4 linked regions of the Caenorhabditis elegans genome follow. The protein of the gene in region 1 purifies or fractionates together with the protein of each later gene. This does not show direct contact. Each region holds a gene or a part of one and is shown in the gene's direction. Other genes may lie near its edges. The genes, in order: car-1, edc-3, plp-1 and aka-1.

Region 1 (6,490 bases):
CATGGATTTTGTAGTTTTTTTTTCGCTAAAATTGAAGGCTTTTTGTCGGAAATTCGAAAATCATGATTTTCTTATTAAAAAATGAAGTTTTACCTAAAAATTGCCACTGAAATTGCATTAAAAATCGGGAAATTCGATAGATTTCGACCTAGCAAGGTTTTCTTCCCAACAAAATCAATATATTTGGTGAAATTATATAAATTTTCACCGAAATTGCTTGAAAATCATAGTTTTTCACTGAAATTTTATGAATTTTCGGCTACTTTTGAACCAAAAACTGTGAAAATTCAATTTTTTCACCGAAATTTGGCTGAAAATAGATATTTAGCGAAAAAGTTTTCTAATTAAAGGCGCATGGATTTATCACGAATTTCTACCATAAACTTTTTCTCGCTTCGAGACCCATTCGAGTAATTCCGTGCGCCTTTAGGAAGAAAATTAAGGAAAAAGTGTTTTTTGTCGAAAAACTTGTCAAAAAACCGGAAAATTGAGGAATTTTGAGCTAGAAAATTATAAAATTCGCTGTAAAAAAATCAGAAGTTCCCATAGATTTTGAAATTTTTAAGAAAAAAAGCGATTTTTATCGCGATATATCGAAAAACTTGCCATTTTTTAACCCAAATTTTTTCCAGAACACACTCCGCGACGCTCACGCTCTCTCCGGAAGCCTTACCTACAAAAACGCCGTGGCCCGACTCGAATCGGCTCTCTACGTGGATTTTTCTGAACATTTGCAATTTTAAAAGTGTCTGTGGAAATGGAAATATCATTCTAATTATTGATTATTGCTTTAAAATTCCCCCGTTTTTCTCCTAATATCATTTTTTTTCGTGTACATATCTCGTGGAAATTGTGGAAATTCTCCATTTTCACCAATTTTCCGCTTCAAAAATCCCACCCTTTCCCCCTCCCCGCCTGTGATACAAAAATCGATTCATTTCTTTCTTTCCCCGGATTTCTTTTTTTTTGTTCCAGATTTTATTTATTCTTCCGCTGCTACTGGGTAGGCAACATTTTTATTTCCAACTTTTTTCGACTTTTTTTTGTTCCAATTCCGAGTGTTTCCCTGATTATCGATCGAAATCCCCCAGATATACGATTTATTGCAATTTCTTTAATTTTTTCTGCGTTCCTTCTCTTCTCCCCGTCACTGCTTTCGTATTATTATTACTGTTCCTATACATGATGAAATAAATATACACGTTTGATTGGGTTCTTTGCTTCCTTTTTTGGAAGTTTTTAGAACAACTGGCAAGAAAATGGCGAAGAATGTGCGAAATTTCGGATTCAAGTGGGCGAAAATTCGAAAATTTCGAATTTTTTGACAAAAGTCGAGAGTTCCGGAGTCATATGGCAGCCAATTAGGCGAAAAGTTCAATATTTTGCGGGAAATTCCCAAAAGCCGAATCCACAGGCCCAGCTTAGCGATACGATGATAATTCTCAAGTTTTTAACACATTCTTCCTGGAAAATAGATTTATACACGTATTATATTATAGAGAAAGCTGAAATCCTAAAAAGAAAGTAACAAAAAATATGAAAATTTTCGAATTATTCGCTCAAAGATCGCCCTTCCTTCCTCGGAATCTCGATCTCATGTCCACCAGTGATCGCTTGCAGTCGGTGAAATTTTGGAGAACGGCGAAACATTTGTCGGGTACACTTCCGTCGCCACGTGCATCGATGCATTCCTTCGCAGATCGAGCTTGAACTTGCACACAATGCGAGTTTTTGATGCATTTTTTGAGTGCTTGACGTAGACGATCACACGATACACCGGTCTTCTTTATCTCGTTGAATTCGTCTTCTTCAAATTGTTGGGATTGGGAGTGTGCGGTGATTCCGGCCATTTTTCGCGGGAGTTTGCCTGAAAAATCGAATAAAAATTGATTTTAGAAGATATAACTAGTTTTAAACAATAAAATTTAAGTAAATTTCAGTCTTTTTCACAATTTTATCACAAAAAAACGAGAAAATTCAATAAATTCGCACAAAAATTGATTTTATTTCATTTAAATTTTGAAAAATAATTAGTGTCGATTTACGGAGTTGGCACGGTGCCAAGATTTGCAGAATCGTGGCGAGACCCACAAAAACCTATAGCAAAACATGCGCCTTTAAATGGGATTGGGGTGCAGCGCCATTTTAGGATTTTTGTTGTTTTCTTCGCAAAATTGTTGATTTTTCGTTATTTTTTTTGATTTTCTAGGGAAATTTTCAATGTTTTATTGCTAAAATAATTATTTTTGACGTGATGAACTTAAAGTTACAGCTTAGAATCATTAAATTTTGCGAATTTTGATAGAAACTTCCCATTTTTTGTGATTTTCAAGTTTGAGCTTACCTTTTATTTCTTCTGCCGATTTTTAGCTGTTTGAGAAGTTCAATTAGTGAGTTTTCGGTTCTTAATACTCAAAATTATTTTTACTGCAATGGTACGGCCGTGGCTGCGCAGTACCTCATAAAATAAGTGGGCAGACGGATGCAATCACGCTCCATCGGCGCAGAATCGATAACGATGACGGCTTCGCATTTTACTTTTAAACTTTTGCAGCTTTTCCCACTTCTTATAAGAAATTAGGGCTTTAAACTGTCAGTGTTATCCTTGTATATTATCGTTGATGTTCCTCTAAGACTTATTGACACCTCCGTATCGATTTTAGGCCAATTAGGTTAATTTCTAAGGTTTCTCGACACAATTGAGATCGCTTCGACATTTTTCGTAGTATTCCGCAAGATTTTGTTTTAGGATTGATAGAAGCGCACATTTACACGGTTTCAGTTGTTAATTTATTCTCCTATTCCCGACAATATTGCTCTTCGTCTTTCTTCAAACGTTGTGAAACTTAAATTATATTACATTTTTGCAGGTAATAATGTCGAATCAAACACCGTACATCGGAAGCAAGATTAGTCTGATCTCCAAGCTCGACATCCGTTACGAGGGAATCCTCTACACCGTCGACACCAACGACTCTACCATCGCGTTGGCCAAGGTTCGCTCGTTCGGAACCGAGAAGCGTCCAACTGCTAATCCGGTCGCCGCTCGTGATGATGTCTACGAGTACATCATCTTCAAGGCCAGCGACATCAAGGATTTGATCGTTTGTGATACTCCGAAGGCGAGTTGCCGGATAATCGAGCTTCATTGATCTAAATAATGTCTTTTCAGATGGCCAACATTGGAGGAGGGCTTCCATACGATCCAGCCATCATCTCTGTCTCCTCGAGATCAGCCCCAGCAAGTGACGGAGCTCCAGCTGCCTCTGCAGGTTCTTCCAGAGCCGGAACGCCATCCCGTAACAGTCCGTTAGGCCAAATCATCCAAAATCAACGTCCAGGACGTGGAGGTTATCAGCAAAGTCAGTTTTATTTTCTTTCAAATCAACTCTGGATTTATGATCATGTTTTCAGACTTCCAAGCTAACCGTGGATACAACAACTACCGCGGAGGATTCGCTGGCGGATACAACAACCAAAGAGGGCACAACAATTATGGAGTTCCTCGAGTTAATCACCGCGAAAAGCTGAAGTTCGAATCGGACTTTGACTTCGAGAAGGCCAATGAGAAGTTCCAAGAAGTTCTCGTCGACAACCTTGAGAAGCTCAACATTGAGGATAAGGCCGAGCCAGAAGTTGAGGAGAAGAAGGATGCTGCCTTCTACGACAAGAAGACTTCATTCTTTGACAACATCAGCTGTGAATCACTGGAGAAAGCCGAAGGAAAGACTGGACGGCCAGATTGGAAGAAGGAGAGAGAAACGAATCAGGAGACGTTCGGACACAACGCAGTGCGTTCGTTGAACTACCGTCGTGGATTCGGAGGACGAGGACGTGGTGGAAACCGCGGATATGGAGGTATAGTTCCACTTTAGAAGTTACAACGTCTTATGCTCAATTTTCAGGTTACAACAACGGATACCAGCATCAACACCAGCACCGTGGAGGATACAATGGAGGTTATCGTCAGAACAACGGTGGATACCGTCGTGGTGGATATGCTCCACGTGACAACCAAGGCAATACTGCCGCAGCTGCCGAACAATAAGTTCGAATTCCCTGAAATTGTTTTCTCCCCACATCCCCATACCCCGATATTAGCCGTTTGTTAATTTATTATGTAAGTTTATCCATTCTCCCCCCCCCCCCATCAATGATTACCCTTGTCTCTTCTCAACTATTGGCGTGTTATAAGAAACCCGTTAATTATTTAGAAATCTCGTACGATTCAATGCGGGCCTTCTGTTATTTTGTAATAATTATTGCGCACCCACCCACCGACACACATCTCCCATCCAAAAAATTCCCAATGTTTTTTCTTCCCCCACTACAATAGTGATTGGACCCTTCCCCCGTTTTTTTAAGTTCTAGCTTGTGAATTTTAAAGCATGTCGTTCTGTTGTCCTCAGTTTGTCATTTTAATAAAATTGCAGTGACTAAACTGTCAAATCGTTTGCACCTGCTCTCCTATCATCCCACACCCCGCCTTTTATGATTGTCTTCTAGGAGATATGAAATTGTTTTTAAGATCTTCTCTTAGATTTGCTATAATATTGCAAACCCTTCATTCTTAGGTAGACAAGCCCTGAGAAATTGTGATTTCCCCGTATAAACTTTTTGTTTTGTATCATTGCTTCGATGTTTTCTTTCTACAACTTGGAAGCCAGTTGGACATGTAAGGTGTCAAAAAATATTGGTATAAGTTTGCTGTAATTTCAAAAAGTTCGATAGTTGTTCTGGCGACTAAATACGTAAAGAATAGCTAACAAATGTTACTTTATAAAAACTATTCAGCGAAACTGATTGAAGTGAACACATTAAAGAAATAAATTAAACATTAAAAGAGAAAATACATAATAAAATTATTCCTTGGTGATCTCGAACTTCCAGGGGCTAAAGTCGATTTTGACGCTATGCCCTTTGAAGAGACAGCGAATAGTTCCCTTAACTCCTCCATCTCGGGAAATTTCGAATCCAGAGGCATTCGGATCGAAAACTCTCGCAGCGTCCAAACTCATACCCATGCAGAATTCCCATTTTTTGAAATTTGTGGACTTCATGAGGCACTGAAAAGTTATTTGAACTAGTTACAAGCAGTGTAGGTGGAATAACTTACATTTTTGATTTCAACAGCCTTTCCAACAGTAACCAATTTGGCATAGCGATGATAATTCCATAAATAGCCAAACGTCGACGGTATTCCAGGAGCACATTGATCACGGATTTTGATATTTTCAAATTGCTCAAACTTTTTGAACGGATTTTTGAAAAAAAGTTAGGAAATTTCAACCGATTTTGCCATTTTCCATTGATCCAATTTATACATTTCCTTCATTGTTTCTGCATTAAATGAATCTGACCAGAGAAATTCCAATTTTCCTGGCTTGAAATGACGGAGAATCGATGGAGTTTGACGAGAGTTGAGACCGAACAAATGAATCTTTTTTAAATTTGGATAGGCCGATTGTTTTAGAATTCTTTCGATTAGTTTGCAGCAGTATTTGGAGAAGTCTTCATAAGGCGCACAAGATTCGCCGAGATAAATTTGGAAAATCTCCAACTTCGCTTTCGGGTGACTCACTCATCATCTTCGTCACGAACTTCATAACAACTTCCAATGAATCTTCTCCATTACCGAACTTCCATTTAAGCATCTTTCGAGGGTTGAATTTTGAATAATGAGTGGCATTGCCGGATTCCTTCACAAAATAGAACAGGTTCGAGTCAAACTCGACATCAAACGCTTCCGGTTCATAAATACAAATGCGGATCTTCTTGAATCCGGGATCCATCCCATCGACCGCATTTTTGAACTTTCGGCACACTTTTCGAAGCGGCATTCTGAAATAAGAAAGGCATTTGGATAATTATTTGTAATTTAGGTATTTATTGCATAGGATTCTGCTTTGATCTGCTAAACTATAAAATCAAAATGTTATTACCTCTCCAGATAATCCAATTGTTTGAAACATTCGTAGAGGGCATCCATTGGCAGATCGGTAAATGTCAGTTTTGATTTCGATCTGGAAAATTATGAGATTGAATATGTAGACGAATTTCAGATTGAAAACTCACAATTTCATGGAATCCAATTTGTCCGAAATTCCGCCTATTTCCACACTTTTCGACAAGCCACTTTCATTTGGGTCGGCCATTTTGAAGAATTACCTGAATATTGATTTTGATGAATTTGAAACAAACAGCAGCACTATAGAAAAAATTCGAAAAGGAAGACCGAAACGATTAAAAAAAAGTAATTCGAACTGGAACTGGACACGTGGCATGACAACGTGTTCATTCTACGTGTAGGGTCACTACGGTAGTTCTCAATGTACGCAAGTTGCGCACAATGCGCTCCATATGACGCGCAATATAATTTGTTTGTATTTATTGAAATTCACTTAAAAATTTCAGTTTTCTGGTTTAACATTGAAAAGTAATGAAAATTCAACGAAATATTTAATTTTAAAATTACAAAAAGTTGAAAAAA
Region 2 (7,971 bases), 4.3 Mb from region 1:
GGCAGTGGTACTCGAACCGACAAGAGAACTAGCAGCACAGGTTCTACAGAATTTATAGAATCGTAATCAAATTTAACGATTTTCAGACTTACACCGAATTTTTGAAATATTGCGCCAATACTTCGATCTCAGCTGCCAACTTCAGTGGAGAAGAAACTGATATTCAGCATGCAGATATCCTCGTGTCAACTCCAAATCGTATCGTTTTTCATTTGGATAAAATTGATACGTCTTCATTAAGGTTTGCATTTGAACCATTCCCTAAAAACTTTGTTCATTTTTTCAGATGGCTTGTCGTTGATGAATCCGATCGTTTGTTCGAGGTTGTTGAAGGCCAGGACAAGTGCTTCCGTAACCAACTCGCTGCAATTTACAAGGCTTGTGATGCCAAATGCACACGTGTCGCATTCTTCAGTGCCACATTTTCACATGAAGTTGAAAAATGGTACGTTTTCGAAGATTTGTCATATCAAAATTCCATATCTAAATTCCAGGTGTAAGGAGAATATCGATGAAATTGGTATGGTATGTGTTGGTGAACGAAACTCGTCTAATACAAGTGTGAAGCAAAAGTTAACCTATTGTGGAACTGAAGATGGAAAGAAAATCGCTATTCGAAATTTGTTGCGAACTTCCTTCAAACCACCAGCTCTAGTTTTTGTACAAAGCAAGGATCGTGCCGTGCAACTGGTGAAATTACTGTCTGCAATTGATTCAAATCTAAAAGTTGATTCAATCAACAGTGGAAAAAGTGATAAGGAAAGGGATGAAACGATGGAAAGGTTCCGTCGAGGAGAGATATGGGTTCTCGTTTGTACTGAATTACTTGGAAGAGGTCTTGACTTGTCTGATGTTGGATTGGTTATCAATTATGATTTGCCAACTTCAATTGTTAGCTACATTCATCGTGTTGGAAGAACTGGTCGTGCTGGAAAGAGTGGTCATGCTGTCACATACTTCACAGATGCTGATATGAAGTATATTAAATCAATTGCAACTGTTATCCGTCAATCTGGTTTTGATGTGCCGGAGTATTTAATGGAAATGAAAAAAGTCTCGAGGTTTGAGGGTAATCCTATTGTTCTGAGTACTCAATTTTTAATTCAGAGATCGTAAAAAGGATATGCTCAAACATGCTCCAAAGCGTCACAAAATCGCCATTGTAAAAGAGCAGGTGATCAAGAAGAAGAAAATGTTAGCAAAGGCAGCCGCTGAGGAAAAAGCGAAGAATAAAACTGAAACACAGACAGCGGAGAAACCAGAGAAGAAAATCAAGAAAAAGAAGTTGATCAAGAAGAACAATAAGAATATATAAATGTTTTGCGAATTTTGCGCTCAATTGTTTTGTTGTTTCAGTTGAAAATTGTTAGGATTTTTTTGTTTTTTTGTTGTTTTGCTGTTTTTCGTTGTTGAAATAATCGAGTCCAATTTAAAAGTTTTACCATTATCTCCATTTTATCCAGAACATAGTGTTTTTAAGTTGATTATAATGTATTTTTCATTGAAACTATATTTTAATTCACGCCGAAGCTGTTATGATGTTCTGGACGAAACCGATTTTTTTTTTGAAACGGAGAAGAGAAAGCGCGCCCCACCGTACAAACGAAAATATCGACGATTTCAGCAAATTTCACAAGCATTCAGTTTTGTTTGGTTCTTGTCCAATAAATTTCTCGATTTCTTTTTTTTCTTGTCCAAAAAAAAACGTTTTATTGAAAAACAAACTAATTCTTTTTCCTTGTACTCGGCTTCTGGTTTAGAGCAGAAAACTCATTTAGAAATATAAAATTTTAATTATTTCATTTCTTACTCGTTATGATGACAATAAAGGAGAATTGAGTCGAATTTTCCGCGGAAAAATTCTTTATGACGACTTTTCTTTTCAAGCTTCGTAAATAGCTTTGCGTTTTACTTTCGTTACAAGTTTCGTTTATTTTTCAGTTCGCGAGCAATGGGACGTGACAGAAGTCGCAGTCGCGATAGGAAGAGACGATCCAGATCAAGATCAGTGGAAAGAAGGCGAGAACGAAGTAGAAGTCGTGAACGTCGAGATGCTCGCAAAAATCGCGACGAAAAAGAAAAGAGAAGCAGTCGAAGCAGAAGTCCGCGCGATAAACGAGATCGGCGGGAAAGAAGTCGATCACGGGATCGAAAAGAACGTGATCGTGAACGACAAAAAAAGGATCGTGAGCCAAAGAAACGAGAGAAACAAGAGGAGATCAGTCTAGAGTCGTTACAAAGTGGAGCAGACGATGAAGCGATGATGGCTGCAATGGGATTTGGTGGATTCGATACAACTAAAAATAAACAGGTATATATTTATTATCTTTGAATATTCTTCCACAAATTAAAATTTTTTAAAGATTTATAATTTTTCAGGTCAATGACAACGTGGATGGCTGCGTGAACATCAAGAAACCTCGCAGATACCGCCAATACATGAACCGAAAGGGAGGATTCAATCGTCCACTTGATTTTATGGGATAATTTATTTTTTTGCAATAATTATTGTTTTTCTTTTCAATTTGATCTCTTTCATTTAGAGAATAATTCTGTACCCAAATCATTTTTATTTCACCGGAACGTTATTTTTAAAATAAGAACTTTTAAATGTTTTGTTCTTATTTATATTTTTCCGAGGTTCTATTCCTTTTTTATCTTTTATCGCTCTACGGACGATTCCCCATTTATAATTTTAATTTTAAGGTTCCAATTCTTCTGATTTCAAATTAAAAATGGATGACAAACTCATTGGAAGCGTCATATCAACCGAAACTAAAGATGGAAATGTCTATCAAGGAAAGTTGACAACGTATGATACGAATAATGGGAATTTGACCATGGCGAATGTTATCAAGTACGATTTTCAATAAAATCTTTAATTAAATGTGTTTTTTTTCAGAAATGGACTTCCTCTTCATCGTTGCTTTACTCTCTCGTCGTCAGACATTAGTCGATTGAAAGTGATTAGAGGCGCTACCCAGTCAACTCAAAAATCCCAGCCCTTGCCAGTTCAAAATTCCTCAAATAGTGTAAATAAACAGAGACCTTTGAAGAAGTCTGCGGAATCTACTGTATCTTCCACTTCCACCGCATCTTCTTCAGCTTCTTCAGTACCGGATTCTTCTCGCAATCGTTCAGTTGCAGTTTCTCCTCAAAAATCGGCAAAGGGGCGATCACCGAAAAAATGTATGATTAAAAAACGTGTTTTATCTAACTTGAATACCTTATCTTAACCGAGAGTAAGTAAAAGTTGAAAAAAAAATACAAAAATTAAATATTTTTTGAAGGAGATATGTATTTTTCCAGTTGCGACAAATGTTGAAAAACTCTTTGAACATCACTCGACACCATCCAAGCTGACTCTTGCGAAGAAACAGAGCCGTCAATCACCAATGCACAATGGATTCTCTCATGTATGATAAATCTATGATATATTTCTTTTACCAATAACATATTTCAGACAGCTGAAGAAATTTCAGCAACACCACATTTCCAAAGTTTCGATCGCCAAGTTCCGAACCCAAAAGTTTTGAGCACAATCGCTTCGAATGGGGGAAGATGTTCGAAGAAGCAGGGTTAGAATTCTAATAATTTGAAAATCAAAATATAAGTTTCGATTTTCAGGACCGTCTGGAAATCCAGTTCTTGACGCTCTCAATCACTACAAGGGAATTGGTGGCCGAAACAAGAATGATCTCGCTGATCCAATCGATTTTGATTTGGATTCAGATTTTGATTTTGCGGAAAATTTGAAATTATTCGAGAAAGATGTGAGATTCTTCATGAAATTTTCTTGTTTTAAACAAATATTACAGGAGAATGATGACCAGTACTATGAGACAGTTGAAAAATTTAAATGCTCTCAAAATTTTGCTCACTACGAAAATATAATTGACGATGAGAATCGAGTGACCTCGTGGACAAATTTGAAGGCACGATCTGAACTTGTGAAGACAGGAACGACACCTCAGACATCTGAGTTAGTTATTTAATGAATATTATGAAAATAGTTGTAATAATTCTAGAAAGAACAACTTCCGAGTTACTGCTGTGAGTTTTGAGAAGTCGATTATTGGAGATCCAATTCCTGCAATAAGTTTGAATGAAAAGAAAGAATTTTTGAATGTGAGAGATTTCCAATAAATTAGTATATAAAATTGATGTTCTTTTAGGAATGTAGGGTTTCGTTAGGAGAAGCTGTCTACGACACAATCGTCGCCGATCGCATCTTCCAATGGGTCTCAGAAGTTCAAAATTCGTATGGTGATGCACATGGAACTGTAGTTCTTCTCGCATCTTCTGCAAACTCTGTTCGTTCCATTCGTCGTCTGCTCACCCATTTCGACAAGCGACGTTACAATTGTCATTTATTCGGAAAATATCCAGGAGAGATCTTTGATCATGTCAATGTGGTCACTGATGTAAAGATGCTTCCGAGAGAAGTTCCGGTCAGGATTTTAGATGTATTCGGAAATATTTATATTTTGTTGCAAGTATTAAAAAAACAAAAATTCTTGCAATAACATTAACAAAAAACCGAAAATTCAGAATTCTGATGATTTTTTAATCAAAAAAACTAAAGTTTTGCTGCAAAAGTCGTATCTTGCAAATTTTTGCGAAAAAAATCGTCGAAAAAACGAATGTTTTCGATTGTTAAAAAAAATCGAAAAAATAAAATTTTTACATCAAATGTTTGCCGATTTTGATGAGATCAAGAATACAATTTGTTGGAAAAATAGAGAAATGACCGAAAATTTTCGATTTCAATCAATTTTCCAAAAATATCGAATATCGAATAACATCCTTGTTCAAAAATTCTCACAAAAAAATAATTTTCAATGTAATATTTGCAGATAATCTGTATTCTCTCACCAGTCGTCAACGACGATGTTGAATGTTGGCTCCGTGCTCAAAGCAATGGAGCTTCTTCTCATTACGTATGCATTGAAAATGTTCCAAGTGTTCTCGAACCATCTCGATGCCATTTGCTTCAATTTGGATGTGCTACAAACGGACTTCGGCATGCGGAACGTAAGGTTCAAACGATAAATCGTGGAGGTATCACTTTTGAACATTTGTGCCAGGGTAAAATGCACGAGGAGACAAGTTCTATTCTTGTTGGTAAGGTTTACTTCTTCTACTCAATAAATTCAAAAAAAAATTCCAGATAGTGCCATTGCTGACCTCGGATCTCCATCGAATTGGTTCGACAACACATCTTCCAAATTCATTTCTACCGCATTCTCTACAACTTTCCTTGTCAGACTTTCACAATCCAATTAGTTTATTTAAAACCCTTTTCCTGTTGACATACACTTTTTTTATTCGCCCAACATGGTTCAGTATCATTTTGATTTTTCTCCAGCGATCCCTCTATAGTCTCAATCACAATGAATCGAGTGATTTTCTTTGTTCTCAAAATAGTAAAATTCTTCCATAAGATATCCCAAATCAAACCAAATCGTGTAGTTTAGCATTTGTTCTCTTTCTCTAAAAATCCCACAGTCGGCGTTACTTTATCACTCCAATATCATTTTTCTTCCCTTTGGCAAGTCGTTGGAATATATCGGTGGTTTCGTATTGTCCCGTTTGACTTGCACATTTCCATTCTAAGAACCAAAACTTTTTGAATTTTGAAATGTATCTTCCATTCCATATTCTTGCACAAATCTTATATTTTGATATACCTTATTGTCCCAACCACGTCTACTTTTAGCACCGAAAAATAAAATATTAGAGATCGAGAATTCATGTTTTCAATTTAAATTTACAAAAAGTTTTAATTCCTCCAAATTATCTCTTTTAATCTCTAATTTTTGAAATTATTATTCTGCTTTTCAGAATTTGAATTAAAAATAATGTAATCAAGAGTCTCAAGATGCCGGAAAATAAAGAAATAATTACGATTTTCGAGAATTCTAGAAATTATACAAATTTAACCAGTGAAAGGTGAGAAATTTTCTAAATTCTAAACTGAATACCGCATACCGTTAACAATGCAATGAAATTAATGTATAATGTGATTGTACATGCCCTTTTATTCTATCCATGAGCTCATTTTTGATTTTAAAATTCAAAAAATCTCCACAAGAAATACTTTAATGTTTTCTATTTCTAGCACTTATTCGTTGGCCGGTGCACTACTTCTTTCTGGAAAATATATGAATGATTGGTGGGAAATCACATTAAGCATATTTCTTTGGATGTCACTTTCTTTTATGGTAAGTTTTGGAAACATGAAATATTATTAAAATTTCTAATGTTCCAAAAATTCGAAGATTTGGCATTTTTGCATTTCCAGAAAAAAAATCTGTGTATTATATTTTTTTGGCAATATTATTAACACTTCTTTCAAAGTGGCTAGGATTACTCCAAACTCCGAGTCCCTACTTCTAAACACCTTTTAATTCACCAAAATGCCCTAACAAAAACTGACTTTATTACACAGACGAAAAATTGTTGGCAACAATACTGTACCCGGTCTCGATACGACACATTTTTAATAAATGCAAAAAGGTGTGTTCTGTAATTTAAAACTCCTGCCTACGGGTTTTTTAATTTAATTAATTTATTCCTTTGTAAAAAACAAAAATAAATAACGATAAAAACAGATGAACGCACACCATGCACTCAACAAGTATATTAGTCGTGTCGAAACTGGGGTCTGTATTCTTTGGCATAATTTGCTACGGGTAATATGACATATTTTATTCAGAAACTATTTTTTATGTTTCAATTGTTCCAGGTAATTAGTCTCGGAGCCACAATTCTTTCCCTTTTCACTCTTCGAAAACATCCATACGTTTGCTTTATTCCAATTCCATTTATCAGTAAGATTCTGAAAATCTTTTTTTTTTCATAATTTCAACTTTTCAGTAATGATGTTCATCATTCCTTTCGTTTTTGGTGCTCCTACGTCAATGGTTCTCGCACTGGCAATGTACGCTTCGAAAAATGTACGTTAAAAAAAATTTACTTTTCAAGAAGTTAAAAAGTTGAGGGAAAAAACATTTTTCAGGCTGTGAGCACTTGGTATTGTGCAATAATGGGTATCATTCAAACTCTTCTGATTTTCGTGACTTCTGTAACCCGAATCCACGCGACGCTGTAACTTATTGTGATTATGTAGAAACGATTGCTTTAATAAATTTTTTTAGTTTCTTTGTCTATAAAATCTCGAAAAGAAAAAACCATATAAAAATTTCCAGAAATGAACAGAAATAATGGGAATCGAAAGATGGTGTAGAAGAAGAAAAAACAAAAGTCTCGGGGTGCTTATAGTTATGCGAGTGAATCAGAGAAGACTTATCGAACGATTTTGTGGTTCATGCCAATGGGATAGGAGTAAAGCGATTAAGGACGCGGGATGGACTGGTGGGTAATCTATACAAAATTGAAAACCGAAAAAAGGTGTCATTAAATCATTACTAATCATCAAAGTGTTTTAGTGTCTAACAGCCTGTTTACAATAAGAAAAAGAAAATAGAAGGGGAAGTAGCATTGAGCATTTATTCGAGGTCTTTAACACGGGCACAAACATCAGCGGTGAATGAAGAGCAAGTTCCAGTACCTCCGAGATCTCCAGTTTTGGCACGTCCATCAGCAATTGCATCAAATACAGCCTTTTCGATACGAGCAGCGTGTTGTGGAAGGTTCTGAAAATGAGCTTGTAAAATTTTTAGACCGACTACGATATAAAAACCATGTAACGGAGCATCATGACGGCAGATAGAAGAAGAGCAGTTGGGTTTGCTTTGTCTTGTCCAGCAATATCTGGGGCGGTTCCGTGAACGGATCTGTAAAGAAATTTGGTAAGTTTTGTTTGAATAAAAAATTGTATTTCGCTATAAAATAAAGTTTTCAGGTTAAAAAAAATTAGATTTAAATTTTATTGAGAAGATTAAAAAAATGCAAGATTTCATCAAATTCAACTTTTTTAGTATTTCCTACTTTTATAATTTCGTATTT
Region 3 (6,286 bases), on another chromosome or scaffold:
AATTTATATTTTAATAACTTGTAGAAAATTGATGCACCGAATATTACATTCCAACAGTTGTCATGCCAGATGCCCTTTTTGTTGTACCAACTGTTTTTGAACTTTTTGAAGCTTTTGTTGTCGTTTTCGCTGTGGTAGTAGTAGTTCTAGTTGTGCTGTAAATAAACAAAGTGTGAATTGAACTAAAACAATTAGCACATACGTTTTTGGAGGGATTTCCATCGTAGTTCCAACTGTTGTAACTCCGATTTGTTCATCTTTTTCTTCGTCTTCCCCTCGTTGCAGGAAATCCGTAATTGTTTTTCTTACTCGTTCATACTTCTTATCATCCACTGCATCAGCTTCAGTATAGATACAACCTCCAAGTTTCCCGACAAATGGGTACAAATCATAGAGTGTGAAATCGATACGATCCGAGTGTCCAACAACTTGTGATATTTCCATCAATTTTTCTCTGAAAACAATTTCAAATAACAACTCAAAATTTAAAATATTTACTAAATCTAAACATACTGTTTCCTGTCATCCTGGTAAATACAAGTTATGCAAAAGAATATGATGAACAAGCCGATAACGAAGCTGGCTAGCACAAATGGAAAAAGATTAAGGTACCAATTACCCCATTTTGGACCTGGAAAAAGAAGAGGATCAAGGTTAAACTTGATCGTAGTATGTGTCAAAGACACGCCAAACTTGTGCTCAAGCTTTGCTAACTTCTAAAACAAGTTAATATTTTTGGTCAAACTCGGTCTAGAACTGTCACAAAAAATGAATCACGCGTTTACACAATTGAATTCCATTAACAACTGAAACTTTGTAAGTTAACTTACCGTCACAATGAATTCCACCGTATTGTCTGAAACAGAGACATTCCACTCTTCCCCATTCAACCATACACTTTCCATAAGCACACGGATTATGCAAGTTGTATGCTGTTGTATCCGGTGGACTACGAAAAATGCAATCTTGAATTTGAACTCGATGTCTACTGATCATTGTGATATTTCCTGGCCGTTCGATGACACACTCAAATACTGTGTTGTTGAAATTTCGGGACACGTTTTTGATTTGTAGGAGGTTATTCATATAATCATAATTTGCTCTAAAATTATATTATTTAAAAAAACATAAAACTCAGCGCTGCATACTTGTCGTCTTGATCTAATGTCTCTTCACCTTTCGAATCTGGGTATCTGATCTTCCAATACATTTTTTGGCCCTAAATTTTCAATCTTAAATCAAAAATGTTTTAAAATGCTTACTTCTCCAGAATTTATATCTTCTAGTTTTGATTTGGAATCACATGATATGGAGGTTGGCCAACCAAGTGCCCAGTATTCTTGAGTATCTCTCACAATCAACGTATTAGGTTCCAGAGCTGAATTCTTATTGATTTTATGAGTGAAAATTATAAATTTAGAAATTGTGATATCGTACATAACTTCACAAGATTTTGGCATGCCTTCTTGAAGGCGCACGGATTTATTTAGATGGGTCACAGCGCGCAAAAATTACAAAAGAATACTATCATACACTTTTGCGCGCCGAGACCAATCTGAATCAATCCGTGCGCCTTTAAGAAGTCATGCCAAAATCTTGTGGAATTACAATACAGCAATTTCAGTTTTCTGAAACGTCATTCTAAACAGTCATTCAGATTATTCACGACAAAATGTACATTCCTGGTCCACGAAATGGCAATTTTACCTATTTTCTCCGGTGAATCAATCGAAAAGCAGTTGACAAGATTTGCGTAAATAAATAATTGCAAGTGAATTGTGAATTTCCTTGTTAGCTTCATTTCAATTGCACCGATAAATAGAGAAATAAATTAAATTGATCGGATTTTTGACGATTATGCATTTTGATGAAAAAAATATGTTACACGTTTCATGTTCCCACGTTTCAGAAGGTTATTTATTTATTAAACGTATATTTTGAATAATAGTGTTCAAATTTCTGAATTTTGCCGCGTATTTGTTTCCGTGTGAAATTGCGTCTCGGTGTTTGCACACTTTCGTAAGCAATCAAATTTTCTTGTGAGTTTTTAGCTTTTTTTCCTTTCTAAATCTTGTTTTTATCGTTTTATATAATGTATTTTCAATGAAAATTGAACTTAACATAATGAAAAATACTGTTGAACCAATTTATATTTATTCCTGCCATCATGTCTTCTTGTCAAGGTCACAAGATTTGATTCTTCAGTGACTTCTTCATCCTAATTTTTGATCTCTTTCCTGCTGTCACCGGGAATGATTTCTAATTATTTTGTCAATTCTATTTTAAAAAGAGCCATTTATAACTTCCGAAAGCAGTGAAAGTGATGCATATATTTCAGTGGGTAGCGACCCACACTCTCGGTGTCCCCTCGCTCTCGCTCAATATCGATTTTGCCTTGATTTATGCGAACCAGAAGCGCTCTTATTTCTTACCAGCTGTTGTGTTCGCAAACGTGTACGAGTGGCCTTGTCCAGTGGATAATTTTATCTTGAGAATGTTTCGTCAGATGATGCAAATATGTTTTAGAATGTTAAGTAACGTTTTTTATGGCTACACTTTATCTAATATGTAATTTTCTTTTTGTTCTCAATGGAATTATTATTATTTTAATTCAAATATTTTTTATTTGCAGACCAGTTGGTTCAAGGGGTGTCTTTTGTCACCATAGTCGTTTGTTCGAAAGGAAATTGTCTGGGTAAAGGATGTCGGACGGAAGTGTTGAAAGGGGAACCAAGCGTGCCGAGGATTCTCTGGCTACTCACCAGCTCACTGTTCAATACAAGCGATACTACATCGATGTCAATGAGAACACTCGTGGACGTTACATCAAGATTGCTGAGGTTGCTTCGAAACTAACTTCCCGTACTAATATTAGCATTTTTCAGTTGGGTACAAATTACAAGAGCCGTATTATTCTAAGCATCGTCGCTGCCAAGGCAATCGTGAGTGAGATTTCGAAGATGCTTGCCCTCATTGATGAACCATCAACTGGTGAACACGCTGTAAGTTGCAATTATTTAAAGAAGTGGCGTAACAATTTATACACGCTCTAGGCAAAAATGTTCTTTCTGATTTTTTTCAATTGAAAAGCTGATGAACTTTTTAGTGAAAACAAAAGTGGATTTCTAAATTGAATATACCTGCTTCAATGCCCATAATTTTATTGATATTTAATATAAAAATTAAAAAAAAATATATTAAAAACTTTTTTAATGCAATATTAAATTTCAGCCAAAGGAAAGCTCTCTCATCAAATCAGAGACTCTCAATGTCGACGGGAGAAAATTCTACGTCGATCTGAAGGAAAATGTTCGTGGTCGCTTTTTGCGCATTGCTCAGATGCCGATGAACCCACGTCAAACTCGCCAACAAATCGCCATTCCATCCGATGGAATCGCCGAAATTCATAAGGTGCTAACCGAATATTTGGCCAAGTTCGGAGAGGGACACGAACAGGAGAACACCAACACTCCAAAAATCACTGCTGAAAACAAATCGTTCCTTTTCCATTCCGGAAAGAACGATCGTGGAGAGTTTGTTCGCATCTCGGAAGTAATAATTTTGTGTCAAATAGAAGTTTATTCTAATTTTATATTCAGATCAAACTCAACAGCGGCTATCGTAACGCAATCACCGTTCCAATGTCCGCACTCGTCGATTTCCGCAAAGAGTTGGATAACATCATCGCCAACCAAGGAAAGTAGTGATCTACAAGTTTTCTCTGCAAAAAAAACAATCGTAATTGCATAACATCTATCGAACTCGAGAGTCTCCCAAAAAATCCCTCCAAATCTTTACTGCATTTGCATGTAAAGATTTTACCTATTTTTCTAAACTGCTGTGTTCCTGTATTTTCACTCTACCTGTTTCGTTTATTTATTTATTTAAGCATCAAGTTTATTGAACTCTAATAAATTCTCGGGAAATTCGTGTCTTAATTATTCTTGCCAGGGAAAGTTACGTTTCCTTATCGAACACCTGTTGCGAAACCAGAAAAGGGCGGGTCTGACTAAGTGAACAAATATTTCGTAATAACTTTCTTCCAACAGAAATTAAAACACGCAAAAAACGGCCAACTCACTAGCTGGAACGTGGAGCCATGGAGATGGATAAAATAACTCTGATTGTCGACATAGCTTCAAGAATATCGTATTCTGCATTTTCAAAAAGTCTTTTTCGTTCAAAATGGGCTTATTCTTCTCTAAAATTTCTTCCTTCATGTTTCCAAATATCGAATGTCGTACATTGATGCTCGGTTTAGATGGAGCCGGGAAAACGACTATTCTCTATAAGCTGAAGCTTAATGAGACAGTCAATACAATTCCAACCATTGGTTTGTTCACTTTTTAAATGTGGTCATACTTGAGTATTTGTTTGAAGGATTCAACGTGGAGACTGTTACCTTCCAAAAAATCACTCTCACTGTTTGGGATGTTGGAGGTCAGAAGAAAATTCGTGCTCTCTGGAAATACTACTTTCCAAATACCACAGTAATTATCAAGAGGAATTATACAACGAAAATTGTTTAATTTCAGACATTAGTGTTTGTGGTGGACAGTTCGGATATTGAGCGGATTCCCGAGGCAAAGGAGGAATTGTTCAGTTTGCTGGCCGAGCCAGAGCTTGCGGATTCTCATTTGCTTGTCTTTGCAAACAAGCAGGATATGCCGAATGCAAGATCACCAGCCGAGCTGACTCAGCTGCTTGATTTGGGTTCACTCAAGAATAGAGAGGTATATAGTTGTATTGTTTTGTAGACCTTATAATCTATAGGATATATATACCTAAAAGGAATGCCAAAATCTTGTGACATTATGATAATACAATTGGCTTTTCAGTGGTTCATCTGTGGTACAAACGCTCACTCTGGACAAGGTCTCTACGAAGGTCTGATGTGGGTCAAGAAGCAGATGAAGACATAAGGATTGCTAAATGATTTCATTTCTTTTCATAAGAAATTGAATAAAATATTGAAAAGTGTTATTCATAACTGAATTCTTGTGGAAGTTTGAATTAAGGAAAAGATAATTAGAGTTAAATAATTAATCACAGGTTGAAAAAACAATCATAAACAAGTTCGACGGTTGTAAAGACGACTAGAATTGTTACAGTTAAAATGTATTGAAAACATTCGAGAATTTTCAGCAACTGTATTGATCATTGCTTCGTAGTCACTTCCAGGTTCTGATCCTTCTCCGCTACAGAACATCTGAAAAATTGATGGTTTAAAATGAATTACTGAAAGATGGTACCGTAGAAAAAGTGAGCATTAGAGATCTCATACTATCAGTTGAATCGAATGCTGGAAGCGTCTTCTCGTGATGAATATGATGATCATTTTGCCATTTTGCATAAGAATACAATGCACTTTTAAATGCATCTGCTAATTCAATAGTTGCTAAAAGTTCAGGTTCAATGTTTGGTGATCTCTGTCGGTTTGCATCCAGGAATCCACGGAATACGTTGTCAAGACATTCCAGTTGAGACGTTTTATCTAAGCCTTGCCAAAAAACTTTTGAAATCATTTGAAGCGTGGTTATTCCAAGACTTGAATAGATACCATACATAGGAACTTCATCACCAGGTAAATAAATTGGAGGTTCAATGAATGCAAGTGGAATCACTATTGCTCCAACATTAGAATTATAAAGCATTGTTGGATCACTTATTGGGAAAGTCGTTGTGTCGTCACTAAAAGTACTTGTATTAGGAATTTTAAGTTCGCCTCGCGAAGTTTGATATTTAGTTTGTCAGAATGAACATGTTTTTTGAAATTAAGATCTCCTGCTAGCTACAGTACCTATACGATTTAACCATACACTTAAAATAAATCAGCACACACGTAATGAACTTCTTATGTATAGCTATATGGTACTGTTTGCCTGCCTGCCTATGTAACAGCCTACAACCTATTTTCTGAATTTATCATTTCCTATTTTAAACGGAGTTGTTCAAAATTTAATTGAAACAATTTTTACAGCTCGCAGATATAACACAAGACATGCCTATTTGTGCAGGACCATTTCCGATGTTCAATTTAATTTAATTGTATACAAATTCTCAAATGTCGTTTTATGATTCGAATTTTAATGTTAATATTAAAACACTTACTTGTCCAAATATGTTCCAATCTGCGACATAGTATAATCTCTTTCAGCTTTTCCAACTCTTATCATTGAATCAAAATAGTCTGTTTCATTAAGTGACACCTGTGAAACTGGCTTCCAAATGAGTTCCTCATTTTGTAAACGTCTCGGGAATCCAACATAAAAACCAAGACGGTTTA
Region 4 (10,561 bases), on another chromosome or scaffold:
CTTCACTCAAAATACCGGATGACCGGTTTACAGTGTAAGATCCTTTTTGTTTGGCATCTGGAACATGGTGCAACCATATTTTTAGAGTTTGTTCTACATGAATACTATTTCAATCTTGGTGTGAAAAATATAACTGCTAAATTTGGAACGGAAAAAAAAAGACAAGGTGGTCTGGGACCCACTGGAAAAAACCTGTGCCTTTAGCATTGCCTTACCAAATTACGATAACAAGAAATATTTCATAAAATCAAACGGCATTTTCAAACTGCGTTAAAATTTAGATTCATTTTTCAGGCCAGACTACAAATCTCACTGATTTTCAACCATCTGCACTTTTACCAAAAACCTCTCACTATGTGACATACGAAGGATCTTTAACTTTTCCCGGATGTCATGAAACTGTCACTTGGGTTATTTTAAATAATCCAATTTATATAACCAATGATGATGTAAGTCATAAATGAATCTAATGCAAAGGGCTGAAATAAATTGAAACATTTCAGCTTCAAATTTGGAATGAAATGCAAAAAACAGAAACAAAACAACCAGAACCATCATATATGACTCCTGCATATCGTCCATTGAAATCGTTAAATGGCCGTCTCGTTAGAACAAATATAAATGTTGGATCAAAAGTGAGAAAACTTGGTCTTCCAAATCTTTAATATAGTTAATTGTTCAGCAGTCTACTGTATCTTCAAGTTGTCCATCGAATGTTTACGTGGAAATGGGGTACCAAGCGAATCCTGGTAGAAATAAGCGGAATGATTCGGTAAGATACACGTCGCAGATAAATTTTAATATTTTATTTCAACAGGTTTCTCGAAGATATGTTCCAACATCGGAAGTTTTCGAAATCGATAGCATTCGTCCTGATGATGTTTCCAAAGCCGGTTCATTTTAGTAAATTACTGTACATTCTCTACTCTTCTTTCACTTTGAAAAACTTCGCGTTCTTGCTCATTCTTTCTCCGAAAGATTTAACTATTGATCTGTGTATTTCTGTATTTAATGACACTTTGGAACTATAAAATACGGGTTCGATTTTAAATGAAGTGTTTGACTCTCTTTCTGTAGAATTTTGTGATATTTTTTGACTGAACAAATAGTTAAAACCAATTTTATGAATAAAAAAGAACTCAAGAAATAAGAATCACAAAGAAAGATACTCAAATATTTTGTGATAATTTCATTAGAATCTAAATACTAACTGAGAGGAGAGAGCCAAGAAATAACTGGCAAGTGATTGCACGAAGTTTGATTTTAGAAAATGGAAAAAGTACAACGGGATTGAATAATATTATACATGTATTTACAACTCGGAACCGTCTTTTGGTGAAGTTAGATTATCGACAAGGAAGCGACGAGCCAATAGTGTGAAGAAAATAGCGAAACACAAAGCGATAACTGGAATCTTGTATAGAAGGGTATAGTCAAAGTTTGTTGATGCCAAGCGGGGAGCGTGGTGTTGGAATACCAGAGGTTGTGGATCTGAAAATATAAATTATTTTCAAGACAAAATGTTTCAATTCAAGTACCTCGAATGGGTTGGACAGCAGGTTGTGCGACATCTGGTACTTCTGATGAATTGACATTAACAGTAGTACCTTCTTCTCTCTCATCTGCATCTTCTTCTGATTCTTCGACATTTTCTGTTGGGACCGAGCTTGTTTCTTCACTTGGCTCTGTTTCTGTCGGGTTCTTTTGATTGTTGGCTGCTTCAACTTCTTTTTTAACAACAGATTCATCTTGAAACTTGAGTTGGGCAGCAAGAGTTTTCGCTTCTTCGGTTTGTTTTAATTGTCCATCTTCAGTTATCGGAAGAAGCGCAGTTTTCATGACACATCCGCATTCTTTACATTTCCACTCACAGCTCCTATAAATACGCTACTTGATTAAAAACAAATAAAAAATGAGACTCACAATTTGGCTAAACGCTGGCGCTCTTTGGGAGGATAATCCAAACTACCAAGCGCGCCTCCTGGGGTACTTGGCAGGAATCCAATCAACGCGAGAAGAGCTGTACGAACTGCAAAATGTATTAAAAAGTCTTAAAATGAATAGACCATTGTAAAACTTACTGCTCCAAGATGGTAGCCACGTTTCTGGGTGATATCCCGAAATCGAAAGGCATACTTTCTTATTTAGCTCAAATCGTCCATTAGGCTGTAATGAAAAATTGTGTAGACTATGTAATTGCAAGGAATAAACTGAACATACCGTAAGAAGTATCAAATTTGGCGGTTTCATCGGGTAATCTGCTGGAAATATAATTCTACCATGATAAATTCCGCCTTCAAAGTCAGTCCCGAGAGTACCACGAATCGTGAAGTGCCATTCAAAAAGATTGTCTTCCATTGGTTGTGCATGATACATTTCCGTTGGCTGTCGCAGTTCCATGGCTTCCTTCATGAGCCTCCGCACACCTGTAACGGAAAACATTTTAATCGGTTTATCAGAACTTTTGTTTAAAACAAACTCGTTTGTTTTAGTTGCTAAATTTGAAAAGACTCACCGGCATTTTTAGTGTTGTACTGCTCACTCATTTTATTCTCTAAATTCTCGTACTTTCAGTCAAATGACAATAAATGAAGACGGAAATGAGAAAAAAACTGGAAAACCGAAACCAACGTCAGCGAGACCCGAAGAACTCGGGGGATGTCCAATTGGGGGTATTACCAACTCGGGGGATTGGCCCCGCCCACAGAACCGTGGCTTGCAATACGCCCATTTCTGCAACTGCCGCACGGTTTTAAAATCATTTTTTTCTTGTTAATTCTCGCTCTATTGAGAAAAATACAGTTTTAAAACCGTGCGGCAGTTGCAGAAATGGGCGTATTGCAAGCCACGGTTCTGTGGGCGGGCCAATCCCCCGAGTTGGTAATCCCCCCAGTTGGACATCCCCCGAGTTCTTCGGGTCTCACGTCAGCTGAAAAGAATGTTCACCGTCACGTCAAATTGCACACATTCTTTTTAGAAGACACCGTCACGCCAAATTGCGGACAACCGACCACTTGATCGCATTTTCTTTTCTCTCTTGTTGACAAGACTTCCGCGTCGTAAAAGTAGTCTTTACACGATTTTCTGTCCGTTTTTAATTCTGAAGAAATTCCTAAAACGCTATCCTTGCTTAAATCATATTTCTAAAACGCTGGATATTGATTTTCTCTTCGCAAAAACATTTTCCTCCGCATGAACTTTCATACGACAATTTTTTCGGTTTCATAATGATTTTAACATTGACTTGAATATCCGTGTTATTTTTTCAATAATATTCTTGCAGTCACAATGGAGGAAGTACCTGACATGGACGACCTTCTCGACGAAATGGAGTCAGACTTGGTCAAGAAATGTTGCAGTGTTCAATCAAAACCTCTCTTGCCACCAACATCGATAGGAATGCAACCACGTGGCATAAAACACAATCCGGCTCCAAGAACTGTCGTAACCGTTTCAAAATTTGTGATTAGTGAGGATATGAATGAACAGATGGAAGTAAGATCTCCCTGCACTTGTTTTATCTTACAATTACACATTTGTTTCCAGGGCAACATCAATATTGACACTTCACAGCTTCCAAACACATTTCAAACTAAATCAAGTTTTCCGCCTAATTCAGATGAAAGAAATATAGGAAAAGAGAATGAAGTTTCGGCACGTCAAGAAATTGCTCACAAGCTCAAATCTGTTCATAATTATTCCGACGCGACAAATTTCGATCCTTCCAAAAAAGTCATAACACAAAAATTTTCTCAAGAATCAGAACCAGAGTCTGAGCCAGAACCAGAACCTGAAGAAGTATCAGAAGTAGAAGAGGTATGTAATTTATTATAAACGGAAATAAATTATAAATATAATTTTTCAGGATACTCTTGTTCCGGAAACACAAATTATTTCAAATCTCAACGCCACTGCAAGAGACACGGAGCCTACTGCCACAATATCAAAACCAAATCTCGATTTAGATACCGAAATGGAAGATATGCTGGCATACCTAAATGACGAGAGCGTCGATAAGTCGAGTTTGAAAGATAAACCTGCGAGAGAGGAAGGAGGACGTGATTCCATCGAAGAGTCAGCAAATGAATCAGCACTTTATCAATTTGCTGATCGTTTCTCCGAACTGGTAATTTCCGAGGCTTTGAATCATCGGAAAATGCATTATGATCCTGCTGTTAAAGAATTTTACGAAGCAAATGATTCAGTGCCCGATGTATTTGCAATGAGTCTCGATAGTACTCATTCTTCTCTTAATTCTTTCAACGCAGATAATCACAATTATCTTTCTGAGCCGGAAAATTCTTCTAAGAAAGAACGAATGCAATCTGTAGCGGAAGAAAATGAAGCTAGTGAAGAACCGACACAAAGCTCTTCGGAAACAGAGAAGAACCTTCAAAACGAGAAAATCGATGTTGAATTTATTGAAAACTCTGAGGCGATTGTGCAAAATGAGTCAGAAGATGTTCCAGAGTCTAACTCAACCAGCGGAACTGTTCTTGAGAATATCGAAGACCATTTAGAATCTGATGTTGTAATCGAGAATGGTTCTGAATCTTCTTTTGTGAATGAGAAAATGAATGAAGCCTCGACTGCACATTTAGTTGCTGAGCAATCAGTCGTAGATGATTCGGAGATTCACTTGGAAACTGAAGATCAGGAAACATTGTCACCAGAAACTGCCGACTCATCAACAAATAAAAATTCAGATGAAGTTAGTCAAGAGTGTTTATTAAGTAGATTTAATTAATTACTTTTTACAGTTTCCCGATGAAGGTTCTCAATCAGAAGCATCAGTAAACAACGAAGAAGTGTTAGAAAATGTTGAACATGTTGAAGATGAATGCACAGTAGTAGATGCTGTCAATGAAAACACGGATTCCTCAATCGAGGAGAACGACGAGGAAAATACTGAGAATCGTCCACGCTTTGATGTTTGTACACAAATATACATCCAGAATAATTTCAATTGTTTCAGTCTTCCATAGCCACCATTCACGTTCTTCACGAGTCTGACTCAGACGAATCAGCAACGCCACGAAGAGAAAGGAGACTCACCGAATCAGAATTACAACTCGGAAAAACATCACCGTATTGGATTCCAGATTCTGAATGCCCAAATTGTATGCTGTGCAATACAAGGCAATAATTTATTAGGAATAGGCCTCTAGTTTGTATTTTTTTCAGGTTCACAATTATTACTAGACGCCATCACTGTCGTGCATGCGGACGCGTTCTCTGTGGTTCTTGTTGCAACGAAAAAGCTTTCCTGGAATATCTTCAAGAAGAAGGCAAAAAGCTGCAAGCTGTGCGAGTATGTAAACCATGTTCTGCAATGCTTGCCAGAATTGAAACCCATGAGCAAGATGAACAGAGACGGAGAGAATCAATCGCTTCTGAAAATGGGTTGAGTGGAGATGAAACGATCAGTTCTATTCCAGCTGCTTCCACCTCAATTCCTCGCGGTGTACTGAAAACCAAACCGACGGTACATGTTAATGAAGAAGATGGTGCATCAACAAGTAGTCAAGCTCACTCGACATCGGGAAATGTGTCAGATTCTTCAAGAAGATCGGTAATGTTTAGGGATGGAGTCCGTCCAGGTGCACCTGCCGATGAAGGAAATCCAGAAGAAGAACGATCAACTGCACTTAAACCAAAAAAGGTTTGTGAATTATGTTAGATTATGCCAATGAACGAATGGTTTTAGAAGTCAAGGAAACGGACATCAGTAGTCAGAAGAATAGCAGAATTACGGATGGAGGATGAACTGGCTTGTGCACTTCCGAAAGAAGGAATAACTAAATTATTAATTGTGAAACCTGATTGTGAACATCCGAAATTCGAAGACGCATCCACTGTTCTTGAAACACTTTGCAATTTTTCCGTCGTCACTGTCGTTCTCAAAAAAAATTTGAATTGCACTGTACAAATTTTTAACAGTAAGAATACATTTTAATGTTTTTTTTTGCAAATAAGGTTTATTTTTCCAGATCCTAACTTCGGTCTCGTCTGGGCTGTATCAACGCAAGGTTTCGCTCAAATTGGACTCGACGAATTGATGTTTTCATGGACTTTGAACGATCAAGAAAAACAAAAAGTTGATGCAGAAGAACCCGAACTTGATGAAAAATCTGCATTGGTAGTTTTACCTCTCCCAGTTCTACATCGTATATCATTGGTGAGTATTATTATTTGCATGATCTAAATTTCGAAAACGAAAAAATAAAAAAATACGAAGCGGAAATGAAAAATTTTGTAAGATTGTAGCGTTATTTTGAAAAACCTAAGCTTCTTCATCAAAATTGCACCTGAGGCACCACGTTTTCAAGATCTGTTCAAAAACAAGATCTACGAAAACAAGATCCACCAAAACAAGATCTACATTTTCAAGATCTACCAAAACAAGATCTACGTTTTCAGGATCTGGCACCGTGCCAACTGCGGTTTTCTCTACGCGCGCGTACGCGTCGCGTGTTGCTAAGCGTAAATTCTAGAAGAAAATTTCAAAAAATATTCGTTTGAACGCTAAACAACACGCGACGCGTAACATCGGAGCATCGTTGTTTCGTTTTCTTCGAGAAAATCGCAGTTGGCACGGTGCCAGATCCTGAAAACGTAGATCTTGTTTTGGTAGATCTTGAAAATGTAGATCTTGTTTTGGTGGATCTTGTTTTCGTAGATCTTGTTTTTGAACAGATCTTGAAAACGTGGTGCCTCTTGCACCTTTTTTATAAATTCGAATGTAGTTTTGTGAAAGAAATATAAAATTTATCAGTTTTTGGGTTAATCAGAATTTTTTATCCCTTTCTAATGCGAAAAATAACTTTTTTACTGAAAAACAATTTTAATTTTTAAAAAAACTCTAAACGCTGCCTCAAAAAAGACGCTATATTTTTTATAAAAGTTAGCTAATTGGTTTAGGAATTAAAACCAGAATTAATCAACAAAAAATCACTATAAAATTAAAATAAATTCGCTTGCATTACAGATCTACACTCAATCCACCGAACATGAATACGCTGGTGTCAGAAAGGTTGAAAATCGTCTGATGCGTGTGCATTCTGTTACAGATCCAACTTATCCATTAACTAAACACATTATGTTTTTCCGGCCTACTGTACAAGTTGGTCTCAAGAATATGCGAATTCCCACAAATCCATTTCTGATTGCTTGTTTCCTGCACGATGATGAACTCAATTGGGCGACAGCTCTTCCTAATCGTTTATTGTATAAACTCGGCGAGAAGTTCAATGGTAAGTAACATTGATATTTTTGTTTATATAATTTTATAATTTTTAAAAATTTCAGTATTCCCAACACCGTTTGTCAATAGTATTGGCCGTGAATCTACATACAGCACTGATGTATCCGGAACTGTATTGAAGGTGTTCACTGACTTCCGGTCTTGGTCTTATAGAATGCGTCACATTTCTGGATGTACAGTCTCGTTGACAAATGATAAAACTGTAATCAGAATTCCAAAATCGGCAATTAAAGAGGTTTATTAGCAAAAGTTTGAAAAATATTTTAAAAAATTGTTTTCAGTTAAAAGATGTTCTAAACTTTAGTCGTTCAATGGTCGCTTGGAGTTGTGATTTGCATTGCGAAGATGATAGTGTACTTGTAAGAGGATTTTTATAATTTACTATCGGAATAATTTCATTGCTTAAGGTTTGTGAGGAAACTGACCCAGGGCTTTATTCGACTCAAGTGTTTGCCAAAAATATTGGACAAAGAGAATGTAAGTTTCTTACTAATAAGAAAAGTTCTTAAATTTCGTTTTTGTAGCTACAAGTGCATCATTTGTAATTCTCGATGGTGGATCGAAAGTCAGTTCACTTCAAGTAAATGTTGTTGAGGATGGTGTTGCTGTAAGACTTCAAAGCGAGCGATTGGAAACTATTTTAAATGCAATTAACGATGGAAACGATGCAGTTGAATCATCTAAAGATATGGAATTTCGTGTCGAGTTTGTCGAAGACGGTAACTGGATTTGTACAGACAGTGATTATTATCCAAAATCGCAGATAGACGGCCTCTATCTCATTGTAAGGATCTGGATCTCATGTTCAAATATTCATTCAATTCCAATTTTCAGAACAAATTTCAATATGGATTGTCTCTCGAAAGAGCTCTGACGCAAGTTCTACAAGTTCAGGGAATAAATGATTATGGAATCAGAATGTCACATGTTTATAATCTCGGTGATGGTAGACTTCAGCCTGAGGAAGAACCTAAAATTTATGGGTAATCAGTAATATTTTATTTTAAACTATGTTCTTCTATTTTCAGAATGATTGAAATTGCTGCGAGGGAATGCGTTGCAATGCTTGAGCCACATATTCAACATTTAATTTGTGCTGGTATTGGGTAAGAATTTTGAGACAAAAAACTTGTTCCGTGATTTCTGATATTTTCAGAAGCGTTTCTATTCGTTTATTCGTTTCGCCGTATGAGTTCGAGTACGATGTTTCGAAATGGCTCGGGTTAGAAGCCGAAAATGACAAATACAAGCAAAGTCTTGATCAGGTATATTTTTAATTTATGCTCAGACCAGAACCCATTGATTTTCAGCTTATTCCAATGTTGTACAATATGGTAGAGTATGTTCCAAATGGTTTTGAAGTCGAATTCGTACTCTCAATTGTGTCTACAAGAGCTCTTCCAATCTGAAACCTTTCGATCCAAATTGAAACATTTTTCTGTTGCCCATTTTCCTAAGAGATTTCCATATATTTCATTACAATGTGCAATCACCCACTTTTAACCTTTTTTTTGTAGAATGCATCCATTTTTACTAGTCTCTCTTTAGACATTCTCAACGCTTATTCGTGTATCCAAATCCTGTGATACTTATTCCATTTTTCTTGTAGTCCCCAAAACACTCCATCTCACTTCTAACACATTTTATACTAATCATGATCGATTTTCTTCTCGGAGGATTTTCAATTATTATTTGATTAGTCGCGGAGTTAACTTGTAATTTAAATCCTTCCGTTTCACCCCCTTGATTTCTCTTTCCGCATCCCATTAATTTTCAATGTTTTGCATAATGATGATTTATAGAAGAAGAAGCAGTTCTCCAATTGAAACCACCGTTTTGTTCATATACTCAAATGCATGCACATTCCAATTGGCATTGACCATCTTCCAAAAGGCAAAGCGAAGTAGAAACGACATATATGAAATAAGTGCTCAAGGCCGAAAATAAATAAATGTCACAACACAGTACAAATAACTCAATTTTTATTAACATTATGCGATTTCATATTTTTTCCGGCTTGGATCCATGATCAACTGCTTTGGACGTCTTCATGTTCGTGTTGGTCGAGCCACTGATCCAACACGCGGACTCGGGCAACGAGCAGTGATGGTGGACGACGACGTGTTGACCTAAATTGGAATCTTATGTAGATTAGATAAATACACTTGTTAGCGAAAGTTTGGTTTTTGTTTTGAGGGTATTGATCATAAAAAAGAATTTCTAAGTGTTTAAACGGAGTATCTGAGGCATGCAAAACTTACATCCAAAACTTGTGAGTCGATTGGTTCTTCCGAGATTGAAAGTTCCAATGACATAGGATTGTCTTGAAATCGTTTTCTGATTTTTACCACAGTTTGGTATCCAGGCGGCGGTCTAGGTATGATGTGAACACGCTCTTGAGACATTTCTACAATAATTATCTTACGATTATCACCATACCACACATTTCAATGAAGGTGGAGTATTACGGCAACACAAAACTCTGAGAATGCATATTCCACAACATATTTGACGCGCAAAATATCTTGTAGCGAAAACTACAGTAACTCTTCTAATGACTACTGTAGAGCTTGTGTCGATCTACGGGATCTCGATTTTTGAAATGAATTTTCTCATTTTTTTCTAAATTTTAATACTCTATTGATAAATCAATGATCAGTAAAAAATTTGTTTTAATTTATATTTCAAAAACTAGCCAGTAAATCGACACTACAGTAGTCTTTTAACGAATTACTGTAGTTTTCGCTACTAGATATTTTGCGCGTCAAATGTGTTGCGGAATACGTATTCTCATAGCATAATAGCGCCAATGGGTATCTCACGTTAATATATGAATGCTCAAATACTGTTGAGGCCGTGTAGAATGTATGTAGTCGGTGTCGATCACGTCTCCAGTACCTCGCCCTCTCTCCCCGTGTGTCCCAGTAAATCATCTGAATTATGTGTAAGAACGGAATAAGACGAACAAGTGATTACTCAAAAACCTATTTATTATACAACCGCGCCCGTGTGGGTCACGCAGGACTCTAAATAGAATAAAACAAGTAAAAGGAGGGAAATACAGTAAAGAACAATAGAAGATGGTATTAAAGTTCCTTGGTGTTGGTGTAAAAACCCTCTCAATCAATACGAAGGTAATAGTGGGTCAATTAAGGAAGATATAATTCAAATAGGGTTTAAGATATAATTCTAACGTAGTGGGTATCGCTACGCGCTGGGAAAATGAAGCATGTGGATATAGATGGTGTGATATGTTGTGGATGTTGGTATTGATAGAGATTAGAAGTATTTTGATAA

What was found.
Region 2: the proteins of car-1 (region 1) and edc-3 purify together in Caenorhabditis elegans (affinity purification with mass spectrometry, with the first as the bait; one large-scale study listed by BioGRID). This does not show direct contact.
Region 3: the proteins of car-1 (region 1) and plp-1 purify together in Caenorhabditis elegans (affinity purification with mass spectrometry, with the first as the bait; one large-scale study listed by BioGRID). This does not show direct contact.
Region 4: the proteins of car-1 (region 1) and aka-1 purify together in Caenorhabditis elegans (affinity purification with mass spectrometry, with the first as the bait; one large-scale study listed by BioGRID). This does not show direct contact.

What each region holds. Positions count from the first base shown.
Region 1 is NC_003279.8:12,901,600-12,908,089, forward strand, and holds car-1 (Protein LSM14 homolog car-1), read left to right. Parts: upstream 1-2,870; 5' UTR 2,871-2,876; coding exon 2,877-3,122; intron 3,123-3,172; coding exon 3,173-3,362; intron 3,363-3,414; coding exon 3,415-3,858; intron 3,859-3,905; coding exon 3,906-4,048; 3' UTR 4,049-4,441; downstream 4,442-6,490. Other genes in the region: Protein pad-1, read left to right, coding at 633-743; coa-5 (Cytochrome c oxidase assembly factor 5), read right to left, coding at 1,560-1,850. UniProt on the Caenorhabditis elegans protein: Transcriptional regulator. Involved in modulating embryonic expression of ATP-dependent chaperone cdc-48.1. May play a role in mRNA gene silencing, and RNA granule (P-body) assembly.
Region 2 is NC_003279.8:8,599,419-8,607,389, forward strand, and holds edc-3 (DFDF domain-containing protein), read left to right. Parts: upstream 1-2,706; 5' UTR 2,707-2,735; coding exon 2,736-2,857; intron 2,858-2,902; coding exon 2,903-3,189; intron 3,190-3,309; coding exon 3,310-3,416; intron 3,417-3,463; coding exon 3,464-3,578; intron 3,579-3,627; coding exon 3,628-3,773; intron 3,774-3,818; coding exon 3,819-3,982; intron 3,983-4,028; coding exon 4,029-4,128; intron 4,129-4,175; coding exon 4,176-4,451; intron 4,452-4,856; coding exon 4,857-5,124; intron 5,125-5,170; coding exon 5,171-5,286; 3' UTR 5,287-5,744; downstream 5,745-7,971. Other genes in the region: ddx-52 (putative ATP-dependent RNA helicase DDX52), read left to right, coding at 1-40, 87-241, 287-445, 495-1,061, 1,108-1,315; snrp-27 (U4/U6.U5 small nuclear ribonucleoprotein 27 kDa protein), read left to right, coding at 1,952-2,311, 2,380-2,487; F43G9.13 (Vesicle transport protein), read left to right, coding at 5,882-5,952, 6,122-6,224, 6,749-6,833, 6,880-6,959, 7,022-7,114; idha-1 (putative isocitrate dehydrogenase [NAD] subunit alpha, mitochondrial), read right to left, coding at 7,512-7,658, 7,706-7,799.
Region 3 is NC_003282.8:7,630,728-7,637,013, forward strand, and holds plp-1 (Transcriptional activator plp-1), read left to right. Parts: upstream 1-2,632; 5' UTR 2,633-2,702; coding exon 2,703-2,840; intron 2,841-2,885; coding exon 2,886-3,002; intron 3,003-3,231; coding exon 3,232-3,552; intron 3,553-3,599; coding exon 3,600-3,704; 3' UTR 3,705-3,926; downstream 3,927-6,286. Other genes in the region: F45E4.6 (EGF-like domain-containing protein), read right to left, coding at 44-155, 203-454, 514-631, 831-1,102, 1,149-1,219, 1,263-1,378, 1,708-1,801; warf-1 (ADP-ribosylation factor 1-like 1), read left to right, coding at 4,186-4,333, 4,381-4,490, 4,536-4,733, 4,839-4,922; nep-16 (Peptidase M13 N-terminal domain-containing protein), read right to left, coding at 5,066-5,209, 5,253-5,691, 6,112-6,286. UniProt on the Caenorhabditis elegans protein: Probable transcription activator. Binds telomeric DNA containing repeats of the sequence, 5'-TTAGGC-3'. Binds to end-1 promoter, activating end-1 expression, which is required for endoderm specification during embryonic development.
Region 4 is NC_003280.10:7,471,260-7,481,820, reverse strand, and holds aka-1 (FYVE-type domain-containing protein), read left to right. Parts: upstream 1-3,283; 5' UTR 3,284-3,288; coding exon 3,289-3,495; intron 3,496-3,546; coding exon 3,547-3,816; intron 3,817-3,865; coding exon 3,866-4,711; intron 4,712-4,760; coding exon 4,761-4,931; intron 4,932-4,975; coding exon 4,976-5,139; intron 5,140-5,184; coding exon 5,185-5,662; intron 5,663-5,707; coding exon 5,708-5,939; intron 5,940-5,990; coding exon 5,991-6,178; intron 6,179-6,988; coding exon 6,989-7,253; intron 7,254-7,308; coding exon 7,309-7,499; intron 7,500-7,545; coding exon 7,546-7,623; intron 7,624-7,671; coding exon 7,672-7,741; intron 7,742-7,788; coding exon 7,789-8,048; intron 8,049-8,098; coding exon 8,099-8,247; intron 8,248-8,292; coding exon 8,293-8,370; intron 8,371-8,420; coding exon 8,421-8,529; intron 8,530-8,574; coding exon 8,575-8,673; 3' UTR 8,674-9,092; downstream 9,093-10,561. Other genes in the region: cah-2 (Putative carbonic anhydrase-like protein 2), read left to right, coding at 295-449, 504-635, 683-772, 818-904; ubc-6 (UBC core domain-containing protein), read right to left, coding at 1,313-1,491, 1,539-1,876, 1,924-2,029, 2,082-2,166, 2,221-2,426, 2,516-2,546.